Linked DNA regions of Drosophila melanogaster. The protein of the gene in region 1 interacts with the protein of each later gene in a pairwise test. Each region holds a gene or a part of one and is shown on either strand. Other genes may lie near its edges. The genes, in order: MESK2, CG15756, CG30026 and Mic26-27.

Region 1 (5,068 bases):
CACAAATGACACCGCATTTAAAGTTGCCAAGTACATGGGCACTCGCAAATTCCGCGGCCATCCTTCGCCACTAAAAAAGCTGTTAGTCTAGCTCAACTTTGACCTTTTGCTGCTCGATTTATGGGCGCTGATAAAGTTGCGCTTGCACTTTTCACCTCGACCACACGAAATGGTATATGATATAATGGGCCTAGCGCCATATTTCTACATATATATGTACATATAATGTAGTAATGTATAATGTACTATAGGCTTATTGGTGGCAAGCGATTTATCAGCGGCATCTGGGCCACTTCAATTCCAATAATTGCAGCCCAGCGTGTGCCATTTATGGCGAATTATTCATAATTGCGATTGCACGTGAAGAGTGCAGAGGAGGAGCTTGAGGTGCAAGCAGCGTGGAGCCATTGAAATTAGCCATCGGCTAGAGTGGGACGGCGACAGGCGAACGACGTGCCCTGGCTTTTCCGTTTTTCCGGCCCGGAGCGAAAGGAGCGCACGGAATATCGACAATTTGGCAGGTCGCCCACGGCAACCGTTGGCAGGTCAACGGGCAACAACAAACCGAAGCTCAAGACAGCAATCTGAACTCAATCTACTGCTGAACTGTGTACTTGATTGGGATTCAATGCTACTTCGGATTTACCGACTCAGAAGACTAAATAATTACGATTTTTTTTCTTCTGAGAACAAAAGTGATTTACATAATCCTTGAGCTTTTGATTTGCTTTAAATGTATCTTTTTCTACTTAGACGTGAAAAGAGATAATTTTAAAGGAAGTCTGCTGTAGTTACATACATAATTCATTGTTAAATTATCATTTAATACGTTTAATGGCTCTTGTTTTTTGTAAGATCTTTCAGTGTTCGATTTCCTTGGAAGGTGGCTAACAACAAGTTCTCTGCTGCCCCTAAAAATACTTGCTCAACTATTGTATTGACTGCAATTTGTCCGAGTCCTTCAAGGATATCGCCTCCGATGTGGGAGGGGGTACAAATTTGCAAAACAGAAATTATTCAAATGTTCTTTGGGGGGCGGAGAGACAAGATACCCCATCGGTAGGGGGCGTGGCAGGGGTTCTGGGGCACCGACAACGGCAGCAAATCACATACAGGAAATGTCACGCTATGTCAAGCCGCAGGCCAGCAGGAAAAAAAATCGTACAGCCGAAACGAACCAAATCACACGCTCAACGTCAGAGCGTGTTGTTGCAGGATATGGGAGAATATCAGTTGGGTAGGTGGGAGGCTAGGGGCGTGGCACGGTGGGGCAATGAGGGGCGGCGCAGGTTGCCCTACTGTTACGTGTTTGCAATCGATTTGAAAGTTACATAAAAACAGAGCCGCAGCAGACCAAGGGCAGAAAAGGGAGAAGGTGCCAGGGAAGTTGGTAAACACCTGAGTGGCCAACAAGAGCGTCAACAACAACAACAACAAGAACAACAACAGGAGCAGCAACAAGGCGCCAAAAGCAATTTGTGCGGCGAACTTTTTATTGTGTTTGCCTTCTGAGTAAACTGACCTACGCATTAAACATGCAGGAAAGTTAAACATCAGATATAGATACGTATACATACATGTATGTACTGGACTCAGATACTCAGGAGGACGAGACGAAATCCTGTCCATGGCGATGGCGCCGACAGGTTACAGTAGAGCCGTTAAAGTGGAGTCCTCACCCATTCATTTCCACACCCAAAAACCGCTAGAAGCAATAAAATTTCACAAAACAGCGAATAACAAATGTCTGCAGGAACAGTAAACACTGCCAATAGGTAAACCAATTAGGGCAACTATTAGAGATAACAGTCAAGTCGCTTTTAATGAACAACCCCATTATTCCATTTCGCTTTTCCTTTGTTTAGTTAGGAAAATTGGTCGACTATTGTCTAGAAAATCAACTCGAAGTTGATTTGAGGTTTTTTTGCGAATTGCCTAGATCGTCAAATTTCTTATTTAACTTAATTGCAATTCAGAATATGGAAAAAAGGTGTAGGAATCAAGGAAACCTACTAATTTAGAATCCCAGGACAACATGCAACCGCACTTTTTTTTACTGGCATAACTTGGTTTTCAGCACACAGGCTTCACTGTGGCAGCTGCTGAAATGATTGCGGCGAAGTTTTCTGGAGGTCGTTTAGAGTGGAAAAGCGCCAGCTCCGAGAGAGGGAGAGCGATAAAGAGGAAGAGAGACGGAATGGAGCGAAGGGGAGGGCAGCAGGGGTCCATTACGTCAGAGCCAGAAGCCATTTGGGTTTTGTCAAAAATTAGCAGTTAGGAAAAGCGAGGAAAACCCAAACGAAACCAAAGCCAAACATACACAAAAAAAAAACGAATAACGAATAAAAACGAACATCATAAATGGATGAATTAGTACAGATATGGCGAGCAACAAGAACAACAACGACAAAAACGTGCATACAACAACTAACTGTTAACTAAGTAAAAAGAAGAGTGCGCAAAATATACAATAGTGCTAATTGAAAAACAGATACTGGGATGCAAATGAAAAGTTTTAGATGAGGCAGTGTGTTTTCTTTTCTTTTTAATGGGGGCGAGCGCAGAGAGAGAGAGACAGGATAAGACAGAGAGAGAGAGAGAGAGAGAGAGAGGGAAGAGTAATAGATAACTGCAACAAAACAAATGCAAGCGGAGCGAGAGGGAGGGGAGTAGGATTAGAACTGGTTAATGTTATCTTCCAGACCCGCCCCTCTCTTTCACACCTTTCCAATTGGCATTTGTTTTGTTGTCTGTTTGGCACTTGTATGTATGTTAATTGTGCCCGTTGTGTGCGGTAGTGTAGGTGTGAGTGCAGGTGTGTGCGTGGTTGGATTTAAAAAACTCACCTGACGCTTTCCGTTGCTTTTTCTTCTATTCTTTTGTAGGCCTCAAAATTGAGATAAAAACTACTACCGCTTTTTACCAACGCCTTCTTTTTGGCTAACAAAAAGAGACCGTTGTTTTAACTGCACTGTCTATGAAAAAATCAATATTCGGTCTCGACCAACTTTTTTCTTCACCTTTTCTTTTACAACTTGTGTAATTTCTGTGCTCGTTCTGTTTCATTCACTTATTCTCTCGCTCTCGCGCGCACGCACACACACACACACGCCCGCTGTTCGCGATTGCCAGTAATTTTCGGGGATCAATTTCTTGTAATTTCTCCAGCTGCTTTCAAGTCTTTAATTCTCGGTCTCGATGCAGCGCAAAGCAAATTTGATAGTGATGGGGAGAAACATCGATGCATCGGGAATCGATGTTTTCATATAGGTGCTATCGAGCTAGCCGATATTTTAGAAATAGTATCGCCGACCAGCGATACATCGTCGCTTATCAAAACATCGGATTCTTAAATATTTTTGACTTAAAAATGTAAATGTTACTTATTATTGGTGTCTAAAACCTTTACATTTCTTTAAAAAGGTATTTTACGATGCTTTTTTTTTCAATGTTACATTTTTGCACTTCCAATGTAATGTAATAGATAATCCAAAACCTATATTATTTTAATATATTGTGAATATTTTGCTTGTAATGCTCATAACAGCAAGCATGCGGTTGGGTAGACATAAATACCCATCACTAATCAGCTGTTTCTTGCGTCCAGAGGAAACGTCGTGCGTTTGGCGTTTGATTGAGTCAAATTCAATTTGTTAACTAAATTCTTTCGTGCAGAACTGGATAGCTGATCGAAGAAATCCGTAAGCCAGGCTCACATGCATCAAAACACATCGGCCAGCTAGCAAAATCCGATTTCTTATTTATACTCCAATTACAGACATGCCGCGACGCTATCAAACAGCTCTCAATTCGGCCAAATACAGTGCCCAGGTCAAGACCAAAACTAGTGACAACGAATCCGATTCCGAAGATGATCTTCCGCCGGATCAAGATGCTGAGGATAACAATGAGCCAGATAATCTGCGCAGCATTTTGGAAAATGCGCCGCACTTCTCTTATCCCGGCTTGAACACTGGAATGTTGGGCCAACTCTTGTACGATCATCAGGATAATCCGAAGCAGGACTTGCCAAATTGCTCGGTTACGGTGCCGCTACCCCTCTTCCTGGCAAAGGATGGACAAACTCCCCGAGTGGAGGCATGCGTCCAAAGGCCATTCCGCTACGACGATTGGACACGGCAATTGCAATTAGGCAAGGCTATATTTGATAGGCGACTTAAAAATATGAGACAGCGTGTACAGAAGCAGGAGCAAGGTGTACACGATGCCAGTCTGTTTGAGATGGCTGAGCACATAGCCCAACAGGAGAATTCCTTCTTCAGGGACAGCTACGATTACTACTACACAGGCGGAAACCTAAACACGATTCCGTTTGATGGAAACGATCAGCTGGCCATGCATGTCAGCGGTAATAAGCTCAGAGATTTGCACTTTTCCCGAGATTATGGTGAGGCGGAGTTTTGGCAACCATTGCATTCGGCTACGATAGAGGAATCCTCCAGCGAAGTCTTTGAACTTCTTCCGCTCCACAATTTAAATCGCAGTCAAATGTTCCTGGCACGGTTGCTGAAGGAGGTTTCCCTATACGAACTTAAATGCAAAGACGAACAGGATTCGGATTCAGATTACGAACTCATTCGCCATTGCATGTTTAGCAGTCAAGTAGCTCCTTTTACAAGCGCTGCACAATCATTGGCCAATGCCAATACATTGGCCTTAGCTAGCCAGGATAGGTCTTTGCGCTTCGTGGATATTTCGACACAACAGGATATAGCCAAGCTTGATGTTTGCTTGCTAAAAGGACTGAAGAAAACCTCGAGTACCTGGGCACAGTTAAAGCAAGCAGAGGAAAGCACCTTTCACTGCCTAACACAGCCAGTTTTGTTTACCGTAGATGTGCGATGCAATCTGCCTCTGAATCCCTGCTTTGCCAGCGGCGTTCACTCAAAAGCTTGCGAGAGGTTCTCTTGTTTGGCCAAGGGTGTGAATCCTAATCTCTTGTATGTGGCTAGTAATCACAACTTCCACTGTTTGGATATCAGATGCTTGGGTAAAAAGCTGACCGATCGAGCTGTCGTCACCTGGACGCATCAGATGACCTATCCAC
Region 2 (4,248 bases), on another chromosome or scaffold:
AAGGTAAGCAGTCGAGTTGAGTCGAGTCTTACAGGAACATGCAGTTGGTGGGGGTAATGGCAGGTCCAGAGATGGTGAAGTTTTATGAATGCTCACCGATTTGCCGCCAACAAATCTCCGCCTGGCATCGCCTTTTCACCAGTACGGCCACCCAATTTGGGGCGTTTTTCCAGAAACCATTTAAATTGAAACCGGGCAAAGGCAGCAGCGCACCAAAGGCATCACAAAAGACAGCCGGCAGGCAGCTGGCAAATTGAGGCTCGAATGTGTTTTTGTCAGACGCCTCATAATGTCTCATCTTTTGGCCATCATCACACACACACACACACACACACACGGTGCTTTTGGTCTTTGGCCCCTTTGGGCCATTGAAAATGGCTATGACACCTCTCTAAACTATTTGAAATTGCTTCAATGTACCTCGTTTCGGTGTCTGAACACGATGTAATTTCGTAGCAATACACTAGCAAGACAATTCTCGCTTTTTAAAAATAACTTTTTATGAGTCATTTACATTGGTAAAGGACTAAATATGTTCAATGTTAAAGAGAGAATTAAAGATATTAATCCGTTGAATAGCAGTATGCCACTCTTTCTCCTCTTTGAAAGTGCGTCTATGTTATTAGTTGCAAGCTTGATTTAAAAGCCACTTCAAGTTTATATCCTACATTTATTATTTATTTTTATTAAATATTGAAAAAAAAAAGAATACCATCTCACACACAGAGTGAGGCAAACAGAAAACATAGAAAGCGACCTAAAAGGAGCTGTCAAGCGAGCAATTGAGACACATTCCCCTTAGAATTCCAAGATGAAGATGACGATGGAGTTAAGTGGAGTCGACTTGACTTCTCCTCCAGCTCCTGCTCATCCTGCTGCATGGTATATGGGGACTACTGGCCAACTCAACTGTGTCGGACTGGTGACTGCAACAATTGTTTTCAATTTGATTTGCAGCAAGTAGAGCGAGCTGCGAGGCAGCCAAGTGTGTGCCAGTTCCCCTGCCAGTCTCAATCTCCATTCTCTGTATGCCGAAATGTCCTCTAATGTTCGGGCTTTCAGTTTGAGGCGCCTTCATCATCATCAACATCGTCATCCCCATCCTCATCGCCATCGTCATCGTGATCATCATCATGGCTGTCGGCTGGTGCTCCAGTTGCCAAAATGTCGTTGGCCAAAGTTGATGGTTCGGTTTCGGTTTCGACTTGGTTTACAGCCTGCAGCAAAGGGGGCAAATGCACAGTGGAAAATTGAATTAAGCATGGCCTACATGAGTTGTATAAGTAAATCACGATTTATCATGATTATTCGACAATTTTAAAATGTGTAGCTGACAGTTCCCATTAAATACATGTAGTTGTAAAACTGTTACCAGTTTAATTTTAAATATTAAGGTTAGTTTCAAAGTATTTAAGGTTATACTTTAGTTTCGTTAGGTTATCCCCTTTGAAACATTTTCCCTGTGTACTCATATGATGGGGGCCCTGAAAATCGCCGAGGAAAGCTAACCCCCGGTGGCACTTACATTAGGAACCAGCTCGGTGCCAGCATCACTTGCGTCCACATCCACATCCACATCCTCAGCCTCATTCACTTCCACTTCCACAGGCAGCTCGTTACGCTCCGGGTCGCTTATTGAATTTCGCTTAGTCCCCGTACCCGTGGCTATTCCGGTGCCCATTCCCATTCCCGATCCCACATCCCTTTCCACTCCGGGCACTTCCAGGCTGCGCGGCAATAGCGGCTGCTCTACGGATAATGTCTCTGCATTTTGGATAAATTCATTAGCGGTTTTGAATGTGAATGGACCTTGGGGCAATGGAACTCACGCATGTCCACATGGTAGCCACGATGATCGGCGGTGTAGAACACCGTGGAGTACTTGTCGTTTGGCAGTGGCACCGAATAGTATCCCTTCTTGGCCAGAACGAGATCCTTGCCCACGGGCAGCCAGTAGGCGCGCTCATATCGCGTGTTGCCATTATCCAGCTGATATCTGTGTGATAAATATATATATATAAGCACTCGAAGTTCTATAGAGTTCTAATATACCTTACCTGAACTCGTACTGCCCGTCCAGTGATCTCTGATCGAAGCTATCGACGAGACGGGGACTGGTCTCCGTGTGACTTGGCTTCTGCACCACAACCACTGGTGGCTGTGGTTGAGGCTGTGGCGGTGGTGCCACCAATGGTGGCCAGTGGTGCACATGCTGATGACGATCCGGATTCGCGGTGGTTATGCTTGTGGTGCTCCTTGGCGTGGTGGTACGCCTGGGTCTGCGAGTCCAGCGTGCATCCACGGGCTGAAGGAGCAGTAGGATGGCCAGGGTGACCATCAGAGAACTGACACCCAGCCCAGCATAGATCTGCTTGAAATGTTGGAACATGTTGCACACAGAATTCAATAATTGATTATGTGGCATTGGGGCGAAACGCTGGCTTTTATATACCCGTGGCCAGCGAAAGAGACGCAGACCACTCGAGTGAAGTCTTTCGGCACTAAAGATGAAAAATGTCCATGCGAAAAGCAGGAACAAGAAAGTGGCAAATGAAGAAAGGCCGACAACAGGCTGGTTCTGAAGTATAATAAACCCCTCTTTTGCCCAAATGATTTGGCAATGGCTTTGGTGGTCAACACCCACACTCCTTTATTTTTCTTCCTTATCAGACGGCTCTTCAGAACCAGAGCTGCCCGATGTGGCTACACTTTCTTGCCACCAAAACTGGCTGTATTTCATATAAATATGAAGTGTTTATCAAGACAGTACTATACCATATACTAAATTTAAAATATATCAGTAGTTGCCCATATATAGCATACATATATATATATAACTAGAGTTTTGAAGCCAAAATTCGAGAATAGATTGCCATATATTTTCTAGCTATATTGAGAAAATCCATATTCTGGAACTTGGCCACAGCACTAACAAGGGCAATACAGAAAATTCATTCATAATAATTACTCTGGCGTTTGTTCTGCCTTTGTGCTCTGTGGTTAACCCTTTAGAGGCGTCTCTTTATTCCCCTCGAGAAACATACATCTCTGACCACCAATCTCTTCCCCCCCCTCGAGAACGAGAACGATTCTTTTGTCGGGCTTTTTGGGTTTTTGTGAGGCGTCACGGTGGCTTTTGTGATTTTGACAGCGTTTTTGGGCCGACGCGTCAGATCCTTCGGCCTGTTTACTCCGTTTGTTTGTTTGATTATTTGTTTGTTGCGCCGGCCGCCGACCGAAGTGTGTCAGGCCCAGATGCAGGACGACTCATACCGATCCCGATTCCGATTCCGATTCTGATCCCCAACTGACTTCCATCGACATGGTTCATTGACCAGTCGCGTCATCGTCCCACATTGCTATCGACTTGGCCCATCTTTCCGATACCCCCTTTTTGGATCCGGGAGGCTTTTTTTTCCATTTGGTCATCGATTTGGTTGCCCAGTGTGGGCGTCTCCATCTGCCCCTAATTGCTTAACCCTTGGGTACGAGTGATGTGATAAATGCCAGACTTCAGACTCCAGACTCCGGGCTCCGGACTCCGGACATCAGCTGGTATTCATCGCATCCGCTGGGTTGGATATTTATGTCTTTCTCGGCTTTTGTTTGTGATGACATTAATTTGACAGAGATATGAGGCAGATTGTTTAATAGTGCCTAGTATGTGCTAAATTTTCCATATCATCTTTATAGTATATATACAAAATAACATTGCTTTATTTATTTTAGCATTTATGTATATCTATACAGTCCGGTTTGGTAGGAAACTCTTTTTTTTATTTTTTAATAAAAGTAACAAACAAAACAAACACTTCAAATCGCGTAGATTTGGTTTGCTTGTGATGATTAATGTTTTGCCAAATGACATTTAATTGATAAATGAAACAAAATGAATCTGTTAATAAATTGCGGCATAATTAATGATCAAACTAATAAAGCAAATTTTTGCAATATAGAAATCTTTGATCGATCGTTGGCACATCATATATTGGACTAAGTCAGATTACTCCCGGCGTATGGAAGGAGGTGGCAAAAAGCACAGCAGTCAACCAAGGGTTAAGACCATCAATTTGGCTGATTAAATTCTCGAGAGTCCGTCAAACCGCATGCGTAATTAATAAATGTAAGAATTTATGAGGAAACACTTCCCCCACTTTTCGCACCCTTTATTATCTTCATTTTGTTTTTTACTCATTTCTTGACATCTGAGACTATCAAGGTGTATTAAGGTGCCGGACTAACGGACGC
Region 3 (3,512 bases), about 10 Mb from region 1:
TCTTTAAATATTCCACCGGTATTTTAAGCTGTTATTTATTTTTAGGTTTGATTTTTATCATCATGGAGGAAAAGGACGTTTAATTAAGCCATTGCCATATTCGATCATAAAAGAACTGCAAATATTTGGACATATTTTTATTAACACTAAAATATTCTTAATAAGTATTTTATTAATAAATACGGGCTGGCCCTATATGACACGTTTTTACTCATTAAAATCGACATTCTTTGACTTATTATTTATTATTTATTTATGCTATTATTTGGCCGGGTTGCTTTCCATTTGAATTTACTTATTTTCTACATATAGAAATGTATGTTACACGCAATTAGCCGAGAAACGAACCTTTTTCTTTTGGATAAAGAATTTTTAAATGTCAATACCTAACACTAGAGGGCGCTAAAATGTTTGTAGCAATAGCCGCATAATGTAAAATTAGTCCACCGAATTTTGTAATTGTCTCCTTTTTGCAGGTAATAGTACCGCCGAAATAAAACTTTTTTTCTCTTCTTACATTACAATTTTATTTTCAACCATAATTTGTAACTACTCCTATTCACTTCATTTGCCAGCCTATAAAGACGAAAAGTCGAATTATAAAGTGTTACAAGGTAGGTTGCGCATGCGTGCTTACCAACCCGCAAGTAATTGCAGCGATCCAAAAAGCCATTTTAACCTTAAATTCTGATAAGCATTTTTCGAACCCGCTGCTCAAAATAAAGCAGCGTGTTTGCTCAACCGCTCATTTTGTAGTTTTGAGCATCTAAAGCCTCTCTGTCGATTGGTTTCTGTTATCAGTCCTCCGCTCTTTGCTAGCTAAAGACTAGCTAAACATCGAAGCTGGGGATCTGTTTTAGTATTTAAGCTAATCAGCTTCCGTTAGCACCGTTTGCTATAAAATGTATTTTGGCAAAGTAATTTCACTGTTTCTATTTTGTTTTCTGTTGGGAGGCATTTGGGCTCAGGATGTTATACCAGAGATACCAGAAGATGTTAGGCCAACGGAGCCCACGACAACTACAACAACAGATGCCACAAGAACCTCTACAACAAAATCCACCACAACTACAACAACGGAACCCACCACAACCACTTCAACAACGAAACCCATCACGACTTCAACAACACAAAGGCCTCCCTTTGAGCAACCCACACGGACAACCGAGATTCCTGGGGTGTGGATGCAACCGATAGAAAGATGCTTTCTGAGAAATCAGATGAAGTATAATACTTGTAAGTGCGATGGTATAATGTGATAATAAAGGGGACCGGACCTTGGGTGAATCACATTTCATCTGTTTGCTTTTCAATTTGCAGGCTGGCCAGTCCCACCGAGGGCCACTTGTTATCGCTGCTGCTACTACTACGACAGCCATATCACCGAATGTAGTAAGCTCCACCAAGGGCCTTGTGTGGCGTATGATTATGGCCAACTGAAAGTGCACGTAAATTGGAAACAAGTATTGTAAAAAGAAATTAAGCAGGAACAGAAATAAAAACAGTAAAATGCTTGAACATTAGTTGTGCAACCAGTTATTATAGAAGTTGAGCAATTTTAAAAACAATGGGATGATTAACAAATCGGGCAAATTTGAAATTCTCAAAAATATATATTTTTGCACCGGAAATAAAACAGTTTTTTCTTTGCTCTGGTTAGCAATATTTGTAATTAATTTTTAGTAACATTTATTTACGCAAGCAAATATTTTTAAGTGCCAGCATCTTATTTTTATGAAATTACTTGGCGTTGGGTTTTTCTGTCTTCTACTGTTCTGTTATCAGCCCTCACCTTTTGCGTGTGGGTCGGTTGTGTGTAAGTGTGTTAATGACTGCAGCTCTGTAGCTAAAACCCAAGCACAAGCTACTCAGTTTCAGTACTCGATTCAATCCGCTCACGTCAACACAGCACGCTAAAAATGAAGTCTGCTATTATTTGCGTGTTCTTCATCGCGACTGCAACGTGGGCTCAGGATACAAGGCCAGAAGTTCCCATCTATCTACCGCCGCCCTCTATAACAACGACGACCACAGAGGCACCAGTAACGACCACTATAACAGAGGAGCCAACAACAGAATCCTTGACAACTACAACAACTGAGACCAGTTCCACATTCTCAACAACCGAGCCTGCCGCAACTACAACAACGGAAATATCCACAACTTCGACAACCGAACCAAGTACTACAACTTTAACAACAAAGAAGATCCCATCAACAACAACAGCAATCATCACAACTACAGGAGTAGAAACCTCCACAACTACAACGACAGAAACCACCACAGCTTCCACAACACAAGGCGATCCAATATATCCGACTTACAGACCTCCCTACATGCGGCCCTCGACCTCAGGGATACCTCCCGTTTCTTCCACAAACCCCTGGATCTGGAACAATGGCAATCCGGCAGTAAAATGTTATCTGCGAAATCAACAGGAATACAGAAGTGATTGTTATGGTATGTGTGGTAAATGCATCAAATGCATCATTTATGTAATTTTCAAATTGCAGGAGTGGGTTGGCATCCGACGACAATTTGTTACCGCTGCTGCTACTATGATCAAAACAGAATCGCCGGATGCAGTAAAATTCACCGAGGACGGTGTTCGTGGTACGATTATGCTCGATGGATATCACCGAATTTCTATGTCTATTAAATAATAACATTAAAAGGTGGCGTAACATTGAAATTATATATGAACTGTACATTTCTGTAATAAAACAATTGTTATCCGTTGGGTGTCGAACAAAGAAAAGGTTTTAGTAATTTACTCTCGAAAACTTAAGACAAAGTTAAAAAAAAAGGTTTAAATGCATTTTTATACATGTTAATTAATGTTGAAATATTGTTTAAAATGCTATGAAATATTAATTACTACATACATAAATAAAACCAATTTCACAATAGGTTTTCACAAGAATTGTTATAGCGTAGGAACGTTACAAGTCGCTTATATACTTTTTATAGTTAGCTAAGACACTAACCATGACAAAAACTTGGTTTGTCCACCAAACTCCAGATGGCTCCAAAAAATAGCTCTAGACTTATTCGGAAATTGACTTGAATCGATTCAACGTTTAATGAAATTATGAATGTTTGCATTTTCACAAGCTGTAAAATTAGAAACTATTAGAGAAGATTTCCCACTTTCTTCTATTTGCACAATAGGCCTAGGGTGATATGGAATTTTTCCCATCTGCATATTAACTTGAGTAACACTCCTTAAATAAACAATAATGTCCTCAGATGGGAATCTGTTTTTTTACAGCATTTTTATTTTATATATTTTTGCAAATTAAACTCATTAGCCAAACAATGTTTTAATCAATTATTAAAGAATCCTAGCTAATCCAAAGTATAGACATTGCCCAAATTAAGGAAGCAATCCTTGAGATGCTGTTGGCTCTCGCAGAAGTCGGGAAAAGGAGGGGCCAAAACTTCATACATAATCCGGATAAGATCAACAAACTTGGCCAGCGCCTTGGGGTACTCCCCTGTTTCGTACAGCC
Region 4 (5,153 bases), on another chromosome or scaffold:
AATCCCTGCCCCTCTTCCATTTGCAGCCTGCTCATCTCGCAGATACGCATCCGCGTGGGCGAGTACGACTTCTCGCATGTGCAGGAACAGCTGCCCTACATAGAGCGCGGGGTGGCCAAGAAGGTGGTGCATCCCAAGTATAGCTTCCTCACGTACGAATACGACCTGGCGCTGGTCAAGCTGGAGCAGCCGCTCGAATTCGCGCCGCATGTCAGTCCCATTTGCCTGCCCGAGACGGACAGCCTCCTAATTGGCATGAACGCCACGGTCACCGGCTGGGGTCGTCTCAGCGAGGGCGGCACCCTGCCCTCCGTCCTCCAAGAGGTGAGTGTTAACACGACTTTAAGCTTCATTTTTAGAATTCAGCGACAATGATAACCGCTGCGAATCGAACGCAAAAAATTGTCGGTGTGGTTCTAAATGGGGCGATTGCAATTAGGAAAAGTCAGAGAGATCATAAAAGGGATTTCCAACGTGAATCAAAAGATATATATCATAAATCTAAAAATAAAGTTAAATGCAAGACACAAATGTAATCTAATACATTTTAATAGGTCTCCGTGCCGATTGTAAGTAACGATAATTGCAAATCGATGTTCATGCGAGCTGGTCGCCAGGAGTTCATTCCGGATATATTCCTGTGCGCGGGCTATGAAACGGGAGGGCAGGACTCCTGTCAGGGCGATTCAGGAGGTCCACTGCAGGTGAGATGCCGGATAAAGCAAACCTACGAGATATATGCTAATAAACATTTTGCAGGCCAAGTCGCAGGATGGGCGCTTCTTTCTGGCCGGGATCATCTCCTGGGGCATTGGCTGTGCCGAGGCCAATTTGCCCGGAGTCTGTACGAGAATCTCCAAGTTTACGCCGTGGATACTGGAGCATGTCAGATGATGATCAGAAGATACTGACGACGGCAGATCTACTTTTGTTATTTGTTTTAATTTATCAGTTGTATCTATAAGTTTTGTGTGATTTATCTTAAAGGAATGTTAAGCGTAGTTAGCTTCAATTTAACAATTTTAACATCATGGCCTTGTGGGCCACTGCCACGCCCCTATCCGCACTCACCCATTCACCTACACACACACACACACAGTCAACGCCCACTAATTTAGTCTAGCGAAATGTTAGCACCGTAAGTTGTCTAACAAGGAAATCGGTCGGATTTCGAATGGGATTATCTATTTGTACATAGCCGAAGGGATAGGGGGCTTGGGAGGGGTAGGGGGGATTGGGAGTCATTTGCATGTCCACAAGTTGTTGGTATTTTAGTGTAGTAATATTTAACAATTAACTAAATCTATATTTATTGTAAACAAATGCATGCAGACATCCGAACGTTGTTTGTATCTTGCCCAAAGAACAAGTCTATCTATAGCGATGCGAAAGCTCGAGAGCAATAAAAGATTAATGAAAATATTGTCTAATAAATAATGCCGCAATCGGAGAATTGGTCCGCTCGAGATACCCATCGCTATAAGAGCCGATTTCCTCCTCAGCAATAGCAGCCCCCGAGGGCACCGCAAATGGATGGCCAAGACCATTCACACAATTTGTAGTCATCGCCATGTTCGGCTGCGGGCCATGGTCATTGACGATGATGATTGGCACAATCGGTTTTGCACGTGGGGAGATGGAGGATGGGAGACATCCGCAGCCGACACTTTCCTCCGGATTTCACTTTTCAACAGCTCACTGGCGTGACATTTGACTTGACACCAACACCTCAATTAATCACTCGAAGATTCATGTGAGAGCGGGTTCTGGCCACGGCCCACACACATTTGCCAAGTTAAACCGCCGTTTCACTTTTGGGACGCGAGGCCAATTTATTTCTGGCAACAAGAAAAGAGATAACTACTTTCGGATAGAATTCAAGCTTCATACAACTTAAATCGATGCACACTTTTCGCCCGGATGGAGGTGGACTAGGAGTTTCCTTTAGCGGGAGGGCACTTCCTACTTCTTTTTGGGGAAGATTAGATCCTTTGCCTCATCGTACAGGTCACTGGCCATGTACTTAAGGTCCTCCAGCGAGGTAGGGAAGGGCACTACGGGAACATCCTCTCCTGGCTTTACGCCCTTGATGAAGTTGTAGGCCACGGCGAAGATCTTACGGCCCTCGTAGAGTACCACGCGGCAGTTTTCTTCCGCCTGGCGGGGGTAGCACATGGAGGCGACTGCACCTGCTCCGATGCCCGAATACAACACCTTCTTTATGAAGCCTCCACGGGCGGCGAAGATGAAACCAGCCAGACCGCCCACCACAATGGCTCCGCTGCGGTGCAGGGAGTTCTGGGGCTCGTTCAGCATGTCGATGGTGGACTGGGTGTGTGCCTTAGCGGTTTCCACGTAATGGCCGACAATGCCGGCTTGATCGGCCACTGCCTTATATCCAGACTGCACCTCCTCGCGCACATAGCGGACTCCGGCCTCCAGGTTCTTGTGCAGCACAGAGTCTTGTGGTGGATGCCGTTCTGGCTTGGGTCTGCGGTAGCATTAAAGGAGTATCGTTAAGGCTGGGACCTTTTTCTTGCATTGGGGCACTCACTCTGTCTTGCGCAAGCTGCCGTAGATGGGCAGCTCGCTGGGCCGGCACACCAGGCTGCAGTCCGCCGCACTGGAGGCTGGTTTCTGGGGCTCGGGAGCCGCTTTAACGGCAACCGCCGCCATGATTCCCATCGTTGCCGTTTTGCGCAGCATCTCGAAGTGGTCAGGAGCTGGTTAAAGTGCCTCGCTGGGTCGATCGGAGTGTGTGTACACACGGAATTTGGCCAACTGTTTGGTAAATTGCTTGTTTTACATCAGTTGTTAGACATTGCGTAATTTGTCACAGCACGGTTCGACTGAATGACGCATGACGACGAATGAAAGCAGTGGGTGATTCGTGCAACAGATGTTCACAGCTGTCACGTGTGAGGGTGGTCACGATATATCGGTATTGCTATTAGATTAATTTGTAAGGTCATCTATTTTCTGCATTTGATGATATAAACGAATGAAATCATTAAATTTTTTTGCTTCAAATCCGATTTTTTAAATGCCATCCACCGTTTATTTTCTATTGACACGATTTTAAGCGATATGTAACAAAGCAGTTCGATGTATCGCATCATAATCATCGTAGAATGGAACTAGTTTACCGTTCTACCGTTTTCCCAGTTCGTGACTCTGGTCACTTTCCACAAGACGCGAATTTTATTCACCAGTAAGAACAAAAATATGCAAACTCAAGCCCACTGATAAGCGGACCAGCAATCTTCAATGAAATCACTACTTTTAAATAATCCGCCATCGACCATTTGCAAGCGCGCGTTAAGCGGAGCCAACGCACTCGCCCACGCCCACCCCCTTGTCACCTGTCCGTTGGCCGCCCACCCAAATCGGTCGTCGGTCCGTTAATGTTATCAGTTCAGCAGCGGAGGCAGCAACAACGTCGAGTGGGCGCGCACAAAAGGCCACCCATCGCTCAAGGACGAGGCGTAGGCAGAGGTAGTGCCAGCCAAGGCCAAATGGGCTTATAAATAAATGAAGGGCCCCCAGTTAAAGGCAATATTTATTGACTTTTGCAGCAGGTTCAATCCGTTGCAGTTGCAGCAGAAGCGGTAGAGGCGCAGGCAGCGACGTAACCGCACAACGTGCGCCGAATACGAAATCTTTTTTTGGGGCCATGCCACGAGCCACGAACGGCTGACAGGAAATCGTGGCCAACGACGAAGAAATCCACACTTCTTCACTGTGAGCAATTGAAACTCTAGTCAATAGTTCATATGGATGCTACCGCAAGTTCAAAGTTCAGGTGAGCATTCAGTTATATAGTAATTATTTTCACTTACGCATATCTTTACGCATCTAAACCGCACGTGGTTAGCGATGTGGACGAATATGGCTTCAAGCGTGGCGACCACTTCGACTATAACAACTACTCAAAGTTCATGGATGGTTACCTGAAAACGTTAACGCGGCGCCGCATGAAATGGGAGGCCATTCTGCAGCAAAATACCGATCTCACCCAGGTGGACGCCAAGCTGAAGCGGTACATTCGGAAGGGCATTCCTGGTCCATACCGTCCCGACGTCTGGATGAAGATATCTGGAGCTGCCGCCGCCCAGCGTCGCTCGCCGGATCTCTTTCGCAACCTTCTGCGCACCGAGCCCTTCGACAAAGAAATCAGCGATTCCATATCAATCGATCTACCTCGTACCTTCCCCGACAATATTCACTTCGATATGAAGAAGCAGCGGTTGTACAACATTCTCATCGCCTACGCCCATCACAATCGGGACGTGGGTTACTGCCAAGGTCTTAACTACATAGCCGGCCTCCTGTTGATCGTCACCGACGATGAGGAGAAGTCCTTTTGGCTGCTCAAGCATATCGTTGAAAACATCGTGCCGCAATACCATTCCCATAATATGGCCAATCTGCTGAGGGATCTGGCCGTGTTCCGCGAATTGGTCATCCGGCGAATTCCCGCTGTAAATCGGCATGTGGATAACTTGGGTAAGATTTAGTTTAAAGAACTAAGTCCGTAACCAGTTGCTAACATATTTTTTATTCCAGGCCTGCCCTATCCGGTGATCGCCAGCAAATGGTTCATCTGCATCTTTGCCGAGGTGCTGCCCGTGGAGACTGTGCTACGTATATGGGACTGTGTCTTTGCCGAGGGCTACAAGATCGTTTTTCGTGCCGCCCTAACCATGTTCGTCACTCACAAGAACGCCATTCTGGGCTGTGATGATATTGCTGCCCTGGCCAATCTATTCCGGGATACCATGATCCAGGACAACATTGTGACGGACTGTCATGGCTTTGTTGAGGCCATGTTCAGTCTGCGTTTGAAGAGAAGCGAGCTAGAGAGCCTACGCAAGGTGGCCGTGCTTAATCCGGCCTAAGGAGCCAGTGTGGAAAGGGCTCTATGACCAATAGATCAAACAACAGCAACAAAACCAAAAACAAATTGGAGAAGCAATCGAAAATTCAATTATTAGGAGCGTAGTTCAGCCGTGTCATTGTGTTTATGTTCATTATTGTGAGTGTGCATTATGTAATCGTTTCTATTTAGTACATACTTATGTGCGCGCATTTGTATTACCATTGTAGCCAAGGTCAACACAATTTGAGTATTAGCCAACGAAATCTGGTCGAGT

The links.
Region 2: the proteins of MESK2 (region 1) and CG15756 interact in a two-hybrid assay, tested with the Drosophila melanogaster proteins (one large-scale study listed by BioGRID).
Region 3: the proteins of MESK2 (region 1) and CG30026 interact in a two-hybrid assay, tested with the Drosophila melanogaster proteins (one large-scale study listed by BioGRID).
Region 4: the proteins of MESK2 (region 1) and Mic26-27 interact in a two-hybrid assay, tested with the Drosophila melanogaster proteins (one large-scale study listed by BioGRID).

The regions. Positions count from the first base shown.
Region 1 is NT_033778.4:21,500,258-21,505,325, reverse strand, and holds the start of MESK2 (misexpression suppressor of KSR 2), read right to left. Parts: upstream 3,230-5,068; 5' UTR 2,847-3,229; intron 1-2,846. Other genes in the region: TAF1C-like (TATA box-binding protein-associated factor RNA polymerase I subunit C-like), read left to right, coding at 3,781-5,068.
Region 2 is NC_004354.4:13,532,614-13,536,861, reverse strand, and holds CG15756 (uncharacterized protein), read right to left. Parts: upstream 2,463-4,248; 5' UTR 2,390-2,462; coding exon 2,058-2,389; intron 1,997-2,057; coding exon 1,830-1,996; intron 1,765-1,829; coding exon 1,526-1,764; intron 1,218-1,525; coding exon 1,059-1,217; 3' UTR 660-1,058; downstream 1-659.
Region 3 is NT_033778.4:11,407,814-11,411,325, reverse strand, and holds CG30026 (uncharacterized protein), read left to right. Parts: upstream 1-1,876; 5' UTR 1,877-1,919; coding exon 1,920-2,460; intron 2,461-2,513; coding exon 2,514-2,659; 3' UTR 2,660-2,750; downstream 2,751-3,512. Other genes in the region: CG34054 (uncharacterized protein), read left to right, coding at 903-1,236, 1,321-1,472; Smyd4-3 (SET and MYND domain containing, class 4, member 3), read right to left, coding at 3,349-3,512.
Region 4 is NT_033777.3:16,143,869-16,149,021, forward strand, and holds Mic26-27 (MICOS subunit 26/27), read right to left. Parts: upstream 2,988-5,153; 5' UTR 2,707-2,987; coding exon 2,555-2,706; intron 2,492-2,554; coding exon 1,963-2,491; 3' UTR 895-1,962; coding exon of another isoform or gene 760-894; 3' UTR 705-759; coding exon of another isoform or gene 555-704; 3' UTR 533-554; downstream 1-532. Other genes in the region: Sb (stubble), read left to right, coding at 27-324, 555-704, 760-894; CG5916 (uncharacterized protein), read left to right, coding at 3,774-3,802, 3,875-4,506, 4,567-4,898.